3 linked regions of the Oryctolagus cuniculus genome follow. The protein of the gene in region 1 purifies or fractionates together with the protein of each later gene. This does not show direct contact. Links are inferred from orthologs where the notes say so. Each region holds a gene or a part of one and is shown in the gene's direction. Other genes may lie near its edges. The genes, in order: CRNKL1, CCDC12 and PPIE.

Region 1 (4,015 bases):
TGGCTCCTGGGTTTGGATCAGCCCAGTCCGGACTTTGTGGCCATTTGGGGAGCGAACCAGCGATGGAATACCTCTCTCCCTCTCCTTCTCTGTAGCTCTACCTCTCAAATAAAATCTTTAAAAAGACGACAATCTGACAAATCTACATATTATCCAACTGCTCGATATTCTAGAAAATGCAAAAAAAAATTTTTTTTAATCAGAAGTTTCCTGGAGTTTGGGGGAGAAAGGGATGAACAGGGGTGGGATCTGAGGGTGTGAGGGGGAGCTGGGCGATACCACGGTTGGATTCGCGTCAGCACGCCGCTGCCTGACCCTACAGGGCGCACCACGCCAGGAGAGAGCCCCAAACTGCGGACTCGGGAGAGGCGCCGCGGGCCGGCTGGGCGAGTCGCTTTCCCTCTGCTCAACTTTGCTGCGAGGCCAGGAGTCCCTTCCCAACCTCCTCGGCACCGCTGGCCTCACTTCCCTGCCCCTGAGGAAAGGTCGAGGGCTATCACTGAGAACCTCACAGCTGTGTTTCCCTTCCATCTTGGGGAAACCGGGCGAAGCTACGAGCCCCGCTGCGCAGCCGAGGCCCCTGGCCTGAGAATTTCGGTGACCGGGGCACACCTGAAAATGTTAAACACGTTTCTTACCGCAAGGCGGGGTAGTTCACTAGTTATTCTGCTCATGTGTTCTCACTTTTTCCTAACACCTGCCTTGGAAAAGACCCGGGATTCCAGGCTCCAGAGTTTAATTAGCGGCGCACTATTGGCCGAGAACTGGAAGCTGTGGGCACGGACGTCGGAGACTATAAAGCCCAGAATGCAACGCGGCGCAGGCTCCCCCTGGGCACGCCGGGAATGGTAGTTTCCCCTCCGTTCCTGACGTCCCCGGCCCTGCAGCGTCTAGAGCAGAGGTTGGCTCCAATTCCCTATCCAGGCGCCTCGGCTGAACACACGAACCCGTTCTCCTAGGATCATCCCAGTCCCAGAAGCTGATCTGGGAGTGAGCCTTTGACACCCTGGATCCAGTCCCCGCGTACCCACCTCAACCCCAACTCCAGGACGCTGAGCTCTGCTTCCAGCTCCGAGGAGGACGCGCTGTCTAGTTACCACGGCAACGGCTCTACCGTGGTCATGGCGCATGCGCGAGGTCAAAGGTCGTCCTCGGGAGTTCCGCTTCCGGTTCCGGGAATCCGTCGGTCGGTGGGGAAGCTTTTGTGGTGTAGGCGAGCCTCGGGGAGCCGTTTCTGTTGTCGGCGAGGGGAGCTGGTCTCCCGAGGTCCGTTGCTGCAGACATGGCGGCGTCCACCGCGGCTGGGAAGCAGCGAATTCCTAAAGTGGCCAAGGTAAGCGGCAGTGCTGCTCTGTGTGTGTGCCCGCGGCGAGGCACAGCCGGCCGCGGGCTGCAGTAGGGCGGTCTGTGTGGGGCGCTGGTCGCGCCGGCCCCGGGAGGGCGCGGGCAAGGGGGGTAGACTGACCAGCCGGAGTCCATCAGCGGCGGGCCCCGGCCTGAGTCTTCGCGGGTGTCCTTTTTCCAGCCCCTTGAACTTGACCTCTTCCGTTCACGCAGCCAGTAATGCGTGTCAGGTGTTTGCCCTGAGTGCTCGTGTCGTGGGTGCTGTCTGTGCGTCCCAGGACGCATTGACTCCTGCTGCTGGGGGCCGGCGCTGTGGTGTAGAGGGTGAAGCCGCCGGCATCCCGTGTGGCCGCCGGTTCGAGTCGCGGCTGCTCCAGTTCCGATCCAAATCCCTGCCGATGCGTCTGGGAGAGCAGTGGAGGATGGCTCAAGTGCTCGGGCCCCTGCAGCAGTGCAGGAGACCCGGAGGGAGCTGCTGGCTTCAGCCTGGCCCAGCCCCGGCCGCTGTGGACATTTGGGGAGTGAACCAGCAGATGGCAGCTCTCTTTCTCTCTCTGCCTTTCAAATAAGTAAATTTAAAAAAAAAAAAAAAGTTTCTTAAAATTCCATTCCATACATTGTTATTGAGTGCCACTGGCCCAATAGCAATAAAGGAAGCCTGTTTGTAACTTAAAATTTTCTCTTAATCGCGTTAGAAGGTAACAGTAAACAGGTGATGTTAACTTTTTTTAAAGATTTATTTGAAAGGCAGAGTTATAGAGAGGCAGGGACAGAGAGAGAGGTCTTCCATCCGCTGGTTCACTCCCCAGTTGGCCTCAACTGCCAGAACTGTGCCAATCGAAGCCAGGAGCCAGGAGCTTCTTCTGGGTCTCCCATGTGAGTGAAGGGGCCCAAGGATTTGGGCCATCTTCCACTGCTTTCCCAGGCCATAGCACAGAGCTGGATTGTAAGAGCAGCAGCCGGGTCTTAAACCAGTGCCCGTGATGCCAACACTGCAGGCAGCGGCTATACCCACTATGCCACAGCACCTGCCCCCTTAGATAAATTTTTTTAAAAATTGTTAAAAAAAAAAAAAAGTTGTGATGTTATATGAATACATCTTAAAATCTCTGGTGAGAATTTTACCTAGCAAGCCTCAAAGTTTACCATTTTACTCATTTAAAAAGGAAAAGTCACTATTGCTTTTTCCATGTTTTTTCTCGTGAGACTTTGACCTACTGACTTGTAATGGGTACTGCGTGTGAAATGGAAAACATTTTCTTCAGTGTTGAGAAATGGACACTTGTCATCCAGAGGGGGCATCTTAGAGTCTGCGTTCTGAAAACCGTGTGTTTGTTTCTTAAACCCTATCTGAAGAGTGTCTACCCAAATAGAAATGTCTAAATTTTCTTTTTTCTTTTTTATGAAAAAGGTCAAAAACAAAGCTCCCGCTGAAGTACAAATAACTGCTGAACAACTCTTGAGAGAAGCGAAAGAAAGAGAACTTGAGCTGCTTCCACCTCCACCTCAGCAGAAGATCACAGATGAAGAAGAATTAAACGATTACAAGCTAAGGAAAAGGAAGGTAAGTCTGATTTCTCTCTGTCTCTTTAGTTGTTTAGAATTAAAGGGCAGAGTTTGAAAAGTTCCTGATCGGTGAGAGTCTGTATGGTTAAGACGAGGTTAATGTTCCTAGCTCTCTGGTGAACTAACTGCTTTTGCTGAACTATATAAAAATAAACTGAGTTGTTAACCTAAAATACAAAGCAGTTAAGCCTGCCAGAGACGTAATTTCTGGTGCTGAATCAAAGATGGCGGAAAGGTTAGCAGGTGGAAGACGCACAGGTGGGAGAGGCGTGTCCTTTGCATGGCTGGCTGCCGTACTTCTGTGGGTAAGACCTAGCACAGAGTCGTGAGACGATGTTGGGTCTGATCTGACCTCCTCACTCGGGAATGTGAGATTATTTTAGACCTCTCATCATGTCCCATCTAGTGAGCTATGGGTGAAATCAGAGTTACCAAGAGGACGTAAAGTTACTTTGCAAAAGCATTGCCTTATTGGAAGCAAATATAAAGTGTGTCTTGAGCAACGGGAGGAAACACCAGCAAGTCTGCCTGCAGTTCTTCTTAGCCAAAGTTTTGTTTGGATGTAAGAGTTTGAAAAAACATCAGTAGTTGTAACTTCTGGTGTCTGATTCGTCAAGGATTCCAGTATGTCATTTCTCTTTTAAAAGAGAACAAAATAATAGTGTTTTTAGTACAAGGCTTATAGTAGACAAAAGGTGATGCCATTTTCCCATTTAATTCAACCCTTTTTGCTGCCTTCCAGACTTTTGAAGATAACATAAGGAAAAACAGGACTGTAATTAGCAACTGGATAAAATACGCACAATGGGAGGAGAGTCTGAAGGAGATTCAAAGGTAAAATTGCTTAGAATATAACACAAAGAAATTGTAAGTTAACCGTTAAAGTTAAATCAGAAGTAAAAAAGTGTACTTCTGCACAGTGGGTGAAGCCACCTCCTGTAGCACCAGCATCCCGTATGGGTGCTGGTTTGAGTCCCAGCTGCTCCACTTCTGATCCAGCTCCCTGCTAATGCTCCTGGGAAGGCAGCTGAAGATGGCCCAAGTGCTTGGGCCACCTGCCAGCCACAGGGGAGACAAGGATGAAGCTCCTGACTTCTGGCTTTGG
Region 2 (4,090 bases), on another chromosome or scaffold:
GGGAGTACAGCACACAGGGGTGGGGAAGCTGTTCTGTTCCAGGCGGGCAGGAAGGCAGCGTGGGGAGGCTGACCAGCGCTTCCTCTCCCCGGGCGGCCTGGCCCCGCCCGGATCCCGAGTTTGCTCTTACATCCTGGATTTGTTTGCCTGGCCCCGGGCTGCCCCCTGCCTGCCCAGGCTTCCAGCCTGTGCCCCCATACCTGTCCTGGGAGGTGTGCAGGCAGGGGAAGGCAGCCTCAGCACACATGAATGCTGAACACCTAGAGAGGATGGGGTGCTCCGGGGGGCATCGGGAGGCCATGGTCCTGGGGGGTGTGCTGGGAGACTGTACCCAGACAACCCCAACAGCCTACTCCCCAGCCTGAAGACCTACCAGGAACATCCCTCAGACTCATCACGTGGCTTAAGCCAAGAACATGCCACAGCCACAGGCAATCAGAGGTATGAGGGCAGGAGTAGCCTCCCTCTAGACCTTTTGTTCTTTCCAGATTAGAGGACTCAATGGGAACAGGCAAGCAGGAGCCTTCTCTGGCCTGAGTTGGCCGCAGCGGCAAGTCCAAGTGTTACCCACTTTGTTCAGATCAAGACTGTGTCAATTTCACAGTCAGGGAAGTAGGGGCTCAGAACTGCAAAGAGCTTGATGTGGGTCTCCCCGAAGAGGGACTCTGCTACACCAGGCCTGCCTCCTGCTGGGGGTCTGGGCAGCCCACGACCTGGGCCAACCAAAGAGGCTGTGGCTCCCATGGCCTGAGCCACAGGTGCCTCAGAGACCGTTGGGCAGCCTCTTCAGGAGGGCCAGCTGGGCTGAACGTTAACTTCCTCTCGGTGAGAAGCTGCTCAGGGGCACACAATGGCCCATTGTGCCCAGGGCACACCTGAGCCAGCAGCACGATGCCAGGCAGGTGCAGGGAGGGAGGCGTGGCTGCCGAGGGAAAGTGGGGGCCTATGTGTGGGGACAGAGCTCAAGGGACGCCAGGGTCAGGGCCACTCCCCTCTGCTTCTGAGGCCTCCTGAAGTAGTCTCTGAGAGCGAGCTAGGGAGCCCAGAGGCAATGGCCTCCCTCCATCCCTCTCAGACATCTCTCCTGCCTCAACCCCCCCAGCACGCCCCACCCCAGAATGGGAGAGGGGTGGGGCTACCTCCACTCCAGGAGGAGCCTATGACCACCAGTTCTCTGGGGACTCGTGACTCAGGTCAGACCTGTGCCTGCTCAGACCTCCAGCCCAGTTGGCCCGATGGCCACCACCCCTCAACCGGCTGTGTCCACAGCAGGAGCAGCCCACAGGCAAACTGAGTACTCCACCCCCCCCCTTCAATTCAGACGGCTCTTTTGGCTCCAAGCCTCAGTTTCCCCCTCTGTAAATGCCTCAGCGATGCCCCTCTCCCTGCAAGACTCAGGATGTGCGGTCTTGCTGTAGCCGTTGCTGTAAAAGTGCACACCTGTGAGTACTGCGCACCGCGCCCCCCTCCCCCCCCCCCGCCCAGTTTAAGCGCCAGAGCGGCCGGCAGGGGACACGCACGTGTGTGTGCGGAGCCGGAGCACACCCAGCTTTCATAGGCGCAGCCCCGGCAGCGCGGGGCGCAGGTGCAGCAGGCGCGGGCCGCGCGGAGCTTTGGGGGCACAGCGAGCGCTGCGCGGGGCTGGCTCACCTGCGCATAGTAGAGCAGCCACAACTCGTAGAGCCGCTCGGAGGCGGCCATGGCCTGACCCGGCTCCGGCCCAGCTGCGCGCCACCTGTCGCCGCCTCCTCCGCGCCGCCCGCCGGTTGCCCCCGGCCAGGCCCATGGGCGGAGGGCGTCACTCCGGGGAGGAGCAGCGCGGTCCTGCTGGGGAAGTTCACGGCTCTAGTCCGCGCCGCACTGAGCCACCCAAGCCGACACCCTCCTCCTCCTCCCCCCCGCCCCCCGCTCGGCTTCCTGCACTTCGCCGCCGCGGCCGCCACCGCCGCCCCGCCTCTCCTGGGACCGTGAAAAGGGCGGGGAGCCCAGCGGGAGGAGGAGCCTGAGATCCGGGAGGGGACGCGAGGGCGCCCCGCCCCCCTCTCCCCGCGGGCCGCGCCCCCACGAGTGGCTGTGGAGAGGCGTTTCGGAGACCCTGGGACATGGGGTCGGATCTGCCTGTACCAGAGAGCTGAGGTTACCGGCATTCGGCGACAGGGCTGGGGACAGGGTCTGGGGCCCATAATAACCTCCCTCGTGAGAATCGCTGGCTGCTTACCACGCGTGCCAGGCGTTCTTCTAAGGCTGCTTCTGAGCTCCTGCTGTTTGCAGAGCGGATGAGGAAGAGCAGAGAAAAGCGGCAGGATAAGCCGGGAATGCCTCTGGGGGGCTCTGTCCAAGGACAGAGGGCAAGGTCCCCTCCTCCTGGAGGTGCCCCCCCACCCCCACCCCCACGCCAGGGCCCAGCCCTTGCCTGACTTCTTTTGTTAACCTCATGGGGGGGGGTGCCTCGTGCCTCCGTGTCCGTAGAGATACTGAGACAGGCCGAAAGACGACCAGGTTGGCCGCCAGAGGCAGCTGGGATGGGGACACAGGCCTGACTGACTCTTTGCTTGGGCCCAGGCTGCCTGTGAAGTGAGGAGGCCCCCGGTGTTGAGCGGGAGTCAGGTTCTTTGTTGAGGGAGGGCGGATGGAAGTTTCTCGGCCATTAGTCCTAGGAATTGGCAGACCTACGGTCCGTTAGATCTTGGGTGGCCGAGAGAAGACAGACCCTGTCTCCTCTCCTGGCCTCTCGGGTGGCTCCTTCGGCCTGGCCTTTGGCGCATCCCGGCTCTGAGCTGACAGTCCCTAAGCGGCCACAAGCTGTGTGCCAGGCCTTGGCAGAGCACTGCCCCCATGGCAGGAGACAGGGCCTAGACAGATGCAGGTTCATGAAGTCAAGACGGGGGTCTGTGGGCCATGGGACTTGGGATGGGAGGCCCGAACAACTGCTTGCAGCCGGCCTGATAAGGGAGGCCGCAGATTTGCTCAGAGGCTAGTCGTCCCCTGTGGGTGTGGCTCTGAGGACCCTGCCGGGCTCACAGTTCTTGACCACAGCTGATGTGGTCTGTTATCAGGCCGCACTGACTAATGTAGAGAGAAGACGCCGGGGAGCCAGACACCTGTGGCCATGCACTTGCTCCAGTCGAGGCCCAACCGACTTTCCCTAAGCTGGGGGTGGGGGTGGGGGTTGAGGTGGCTCCTTGGGGCTAACTGGGTCTTGTTGCAGTTTGCTCTTCCCAGGGAAGGCAGCCTGCCCCGGGTACTCTGCCTCTCCAGGAGGCGGTGGGGGTGACAGGGTATCATCTGTGAACCCCGGAGGGAAACCGCCGTCCACGCTGCAGGCTTCGAGCGACAGTGATGGCCACAGACGGGCTTAGGGTACTTGGTGAGGCGAGTCCGAGGAGCCACTGACAGCAGCAGAGGAGGGAAGAGACTGACCTCAGGTTAGGGTGGGATCGGAGTGGAGTCAAGGAAAGCTTCTGGAAGGCACTGGAGCCCTGAAGATTCAGGACAAGTGCACAAGGATGGGTCAGGGCACTCCAAGAGGCCGGCATGAGGTGAGCCGTGATTAAGTGCTCAGGCAAAACCCAAGAGATCGACGCACGCTAGGCTCCGCCCCTCAGGTCTGAGTCGATTTGCTGTTTTCTCACTGATTAGAGTTGGACACTTGAGCCTTAGCATCTTCTTTCTCCCCTGGCCGGTACCCCGTGGGCTAGCCGAGCTGCTTGTGAGGAAAAGGGCGGGGGCGCGGCGGGGGCGCGGCGGGAGCGGGGCGGGCCCTCCCGTAGCAACTAAGCATTGATTGGCCTGCCACACTTCCGGCTCCCTTATTCTCGCCCTCGGATTGGCCGCGAGACACTCATCTACTTTCCTTAGGTCAGCGCGACACATCACGACAGAAAAGGAGGGGGTCGGTAGGCAACATGGCGGCGGCTGCGGCCGGTGTGGGCCGGCTGGAGGAGGAGGCTCTGCGGCGGAAGGAGAGGCTGAGGGCCCTGCGGGAGAAAACCGGGCGTAAGGTGAGAAATGCGAAATGAGGGCCGCAGCTCAAGCAGTCAACGTTCAGGGGCCGGAAGGGGGCTGGAGGGCAAGGGACTCAGGGAAAGAC
Region 3 (3,586 bases), on another chromosome or scaffold:
GGTACAGATTTGTGATTACCAATGACAAGGAGGAAGATTGGGTGCTCGTTTCCACCATTCCTGACCCGCCTCCTCCTCCACTGAAGACTGGGCTCCTCCTCTGCGTCCACGTGGCCAGTTTGTGACTCTTCAGGGCTCACTGTAGAGGGCAGAGGGGCTGGTACATGAATGGGTCTGCTTAACTGGAGTACGGTGGCTGGGCTTGAACCAGTGTTGGAAGTTGGTGAGAGTTGTGCAGTGGGGGCCAGAAGAGTGTGCTGTTCTGTGACTGCAGGGCAGGGGGACGCAGGATGATGAGACAGCGTGCCTGGAACTGGGGTCGAGTGAGGTAGTGCTGAGGTCTCCTGTCACTGCATGTGGGGAGCAATCCGGACTGGACTGAGTTACTGGAATTAAGACTTATTCTATGCATCTGCTCTCCCACAATATGGCGCTGGGAGAGAAGTAAACAGCTTCCGCACAGCTGCCTCCAGTTCAACCAATTAACTGTAGGACTTGCTCCTGATTGGAGAGCAGCGTACTCGGCGTGTGGGCAGCCGAGTTGGGATTGGCGGAGGAGGACTACAAAGGAGGAGAGAGACGGCATGCACCGGGAACATCTATGGGGAACATCTAAGGGAACCCGTGCAGCCCCCGAGAGAACCGGCCGGCGGTGTGCCGCTCCCCTGCGGAAGTGGGGAATGCGGCCAGGGGGAACTGCCCTTCCACGGAGGTGGAAGGGATAGTAGCCAACCCGGGAGGAGCCGGCGGCGAACCCGGGGAGGGCCGAGCAGATGAAAGAACAGTGCAGGGTCCTGTGTCGTTCCTCCATGAAGAGGGGGAGCGACAACTGCATGTCCAGCTGGGTGCTGTGGCCATGGCTCGTGCCTCCTGTAGCAGTGTCAGGTCCAAGACCTTTCCTGTCAGCACCTTGCTCCAGCCTGCTTGCTGGCGTTGTGTTCTGGGTGTTTGTGTGCAGGGCGTTGTCTGTGCTTGTGTTTGGGAAGTCAGGCATTCTCTCTAACCAGCACTTTTCTTCGGTACCCAGGGAGAGCCCACTGCGAAAAAGGCCCGGTCAAATCCTCAGGTGTACATGGACATCAAGATTGGGAATAAACCAGCTGGCCGCATCCAGATGCTCCTGCGTTCAGATGTTGTACCCATGACAGCAGGTGGGTAGGCCTCTGTCTAGGCCAGCAGGAAGCTGTAGGCGACCAGTGACAGACTTCTGCCTCACTTTTGGTACCCTTGACGATTTTGTTGTTGTTGTTGTTGTTTTTTAAACCTGAATCAGTTTGAGGTATCTCATTTCCTGGAATCTAGTAACAGAGTCAGAGCAGGTATTTTTGAGATTGTCTTAAGTGGTAGATTACCTTTTTTTTTCTCTTGCATTATTAGAGAGAGAGAGACAGACAATTTTTATCCACTGGCTCACCCCCCTCCCCCAAAAGCCCACAACACCCAGAGCTTCAGGCCAAGCCAAAGCCTGGAACCGGGAATCCCATCCTGGTCTCCCGTGTCGGTGGCAGGGTCCTAAGTACTTGTGCCATACTCTCAGGCACGTTAGCAGGAAGGTGGCTTGGGAGCAGAATAACCAGGACTCAAACTGGCACTCCAATATGGGATGCCAGCATCATAAGCAGCGGCTTAACCTGCTGTGCCACACTCTAGGCCTGCAGACAGTTTCTTGATTGTCTCTTCTAGTTTGTTAAATATTGACTTTTTATTATAAATTTTTATTATTTATTTTAAAGCCAGAGACAGATCTCTCATCCTCTGGTTCACTCCCCAAATGCCTGCTATAACTAAGGCTGGACCAGGCCAAAGCTAGGAGCCAGTAACTCACCATCACCTGCTACCCCCTCTGACGTGCATTAGCAGGAAGCTGGAATAGAGAGTGTAGTCAGTTCTCAAACCCAGGCACTACAATAAGGGATACAGTTGTCCCAAGCTGTATTAATGCTATGTCAAATGCCCGAGTCAATTTCACAAAGCCAATTTGTAAAACTGGTAGTCCCCTGGTGCTGTGCTGCACCTCACTCCACTGCCAGCACCATTTGCTGCTCCTTACAGGCAGTTCATTTCAACTCTTGGCCAGTTCCTTTGGTTTTTGCTTCCTGAAGTTGTAGGTTTCTACTTCCTGGTTTTTCCATTTTAGACATTATTTTTTTAAGATTTATTTATGTTACTGAAAGGAGGAGTTACAGAGAAGCAGAGGCAGAGAGAGAAAGGTCTTCCATCTGCTGGTTCACTCCCCAAGTGGCTGCAAGGGCTGGAATAGGGCTGATCTGAAGCCAGGAGTCAGGAGCTTCCTCCAGGTCTCCCACATGGGTGCAGGGGTTCAAGGACTTGGGCCATCTTCCACTGCCTTCCCAGGCCACAGCAGAGAGCTGGACTGGAAGTGAAGCAGCCGGGACTTGAACCAGTGCCCATATGGGATACCAGCACTGCACACAGTGGCCTTACCTGCTACGCCACAGTGCCAGCTCCTAGATATTATCTTTTGACTTCCTACTTGAATAGAAGGAATTATTAGCTTTTGAAAATCTAATGGGGCCGGCGTCATGGCGCAGTGGGTTAATCCTCTGCCTGCGGTGCCAGCATGCCATATGGGCACTGGTTCTAGTCCTGGCTGCTCCTCTTCCAATCCAGCTCTCTGCTATGGCCTGGGAAAGCAGTAGAAGATGGCCCAAGTCCTTGGATCCCTGCACCCACATGGGAGACCAGGAAGAAGCACCTGGCTCCTGGCTTCGGATCAGCACAGCTCTGGCCATTGCAGTCATCTGGGGAGTGAACTAACAGAAGGAAGACATTTCTCTCGGTCTCTCCCTCTCACTGACTGTAACTCCACCACTCAAATAAATAAATAAATAGATCTTAGAGAAAAGAAAAGTCATTAAAAAAAGAAAAGAAAAGAAAATCTATTGCCTCGTATAGGTTCCATGACTGTGGTTAGGTCGTTGTTTATTTTACCTATGTAAGCATATGATAAACGTATTCCATGCACAGCATTCTGTTTTGCCTGGAATTATCACCTGTGTATTTACTCCTGATTCTCTCCCAAGTCCTCCTGCTGGGTTTTCTACATACAGCTGTCTGCCAGCTTGTGAGGGCAGGGCTGAATGCCTCCATGTTCAGTACCTAACCTTCTACCTTGTCTCCCTTTGTCATGATGGTGCCTCAGCCCTCAGCCATCTGCTTTTCCTCACCAGAGAGTAGATCCACCGGCAGAGGCAGCCCTCGCTGCAGGGTCAAGAAGAGGAAGATCTAGGGTTAGCCACTCCTTGAACAGGACTTCAGCCAGGCCTACTCTTCTTAGAATTACCTTCTCCCTTGTATTGAGCTTTTGGAATGTAAATTCAGTTGCTTCTTGGTTTTTGCAATCTTAAAATCAGCTTTTTTAGATCTGCTTTATCATTTATTTGTTTTCTAGCTTTCAAAAATGTTTTTGTTATGGTCTCACCACTACCCCCTTTTAAAAATTATTTTTGGATATTTTAATTATTTTAAGTATATGTTAATTACTATGTTGTACCATAATCACTGCTACCTATTTTCAGGATTTTTTTCATCACCCCAAGCAAAAACTCTGAGCCTACCAGGAAGG

Evidence for each region.
Region 2: the proteins of CRNKL1 (region 1) and CCDC12 purify together in Homo sapiens (co-immunoprecipitation; 3 studies listed by BioGRID and IntAct, with this or other methods). This does not show direct contact. The link is inferred for Oryctolagus cuniculus from reciprocal best matches to the Homo sapiens genes CRNKL1 and CCDC12.
Region 3: the proteins of CRNKL1 (region 1) and PPIE purify together in Homo sapiens (affinity purification with mass spectrometry; 3 studies listed by BioGRID and IntAct, counting the BioPlex papers as one, with this or other methods). This does not show direct contact. The link is inferred for Oryctolagus cuniculus from reciprocal best matches to the Homo sapiens genes CRNKL1 and PPIE.

Annotation. Positions count from the first base shown.
Region 1 is NC_091442.1:44,670,195-44,674,209, reverse strand, and holds the start of CRNKL1 (crooked neck-like protein 1), read left to right. Parts: upstream 1-1,164; 5' UTR 1,165-1,282; coding exon 1,283-1,333; intron 1,334-2,755; coding exon 2,756-2,908; intron 2,909-3,652; coding exon 3,653-3,744; intron 3,745-4,015. UniProt on the Homo sapiens protein: Involved in pre-mRNA splicing process. As a component of the minor spliceosome, involved in the splicing of U12-type introns in pre-mRNAs.
Region 2 is NC_091441.1:101,793,072-101,797,161, forward strand, and holds the start of CCDC12 (coiled-coil domain-containing protein 12), read left to right. Parts: upstream 1-1,230; 5' UTR 1,231-1,399; coding exon 1,400-1,442; intron 1,443-1,650; coding exon of another isoform or gene 1,651-1,827; intron 1,828-2,055; exon of another isoform or gene 2,056-2,136; intron 2,137-2,218; coding exon of another isoform or gene 2,219-2,261; intron 2,262-3,420; coding exon of another isoform or gene 3,421-3,536; exon of another isoform or gene 3,537-3,735; intron 3,736-3,858; coding exon 3,859-4,001; intron 4,002-4,090. Other genes in the region: NBEAL2 (neurobeachin-like protein 2), read right to left, coding at 1,651-1,827, 2,219-2,261, 3,421-3,536.
Region 3 is NC_091438.1:133,125,555-133,129,140, reverse strand, and holds part of PPIE (peptidyl-prolyl cis-trans isomerase E), read left to right. Parts: intron 1-1,027; coding exon 1,028-1,151; intron 1,152-3,586. UniProt on the Homo sapiens protein: Involved in pre-mRNA splicing as component of the spliceosome. Combines RNA-binding and PPIase activities.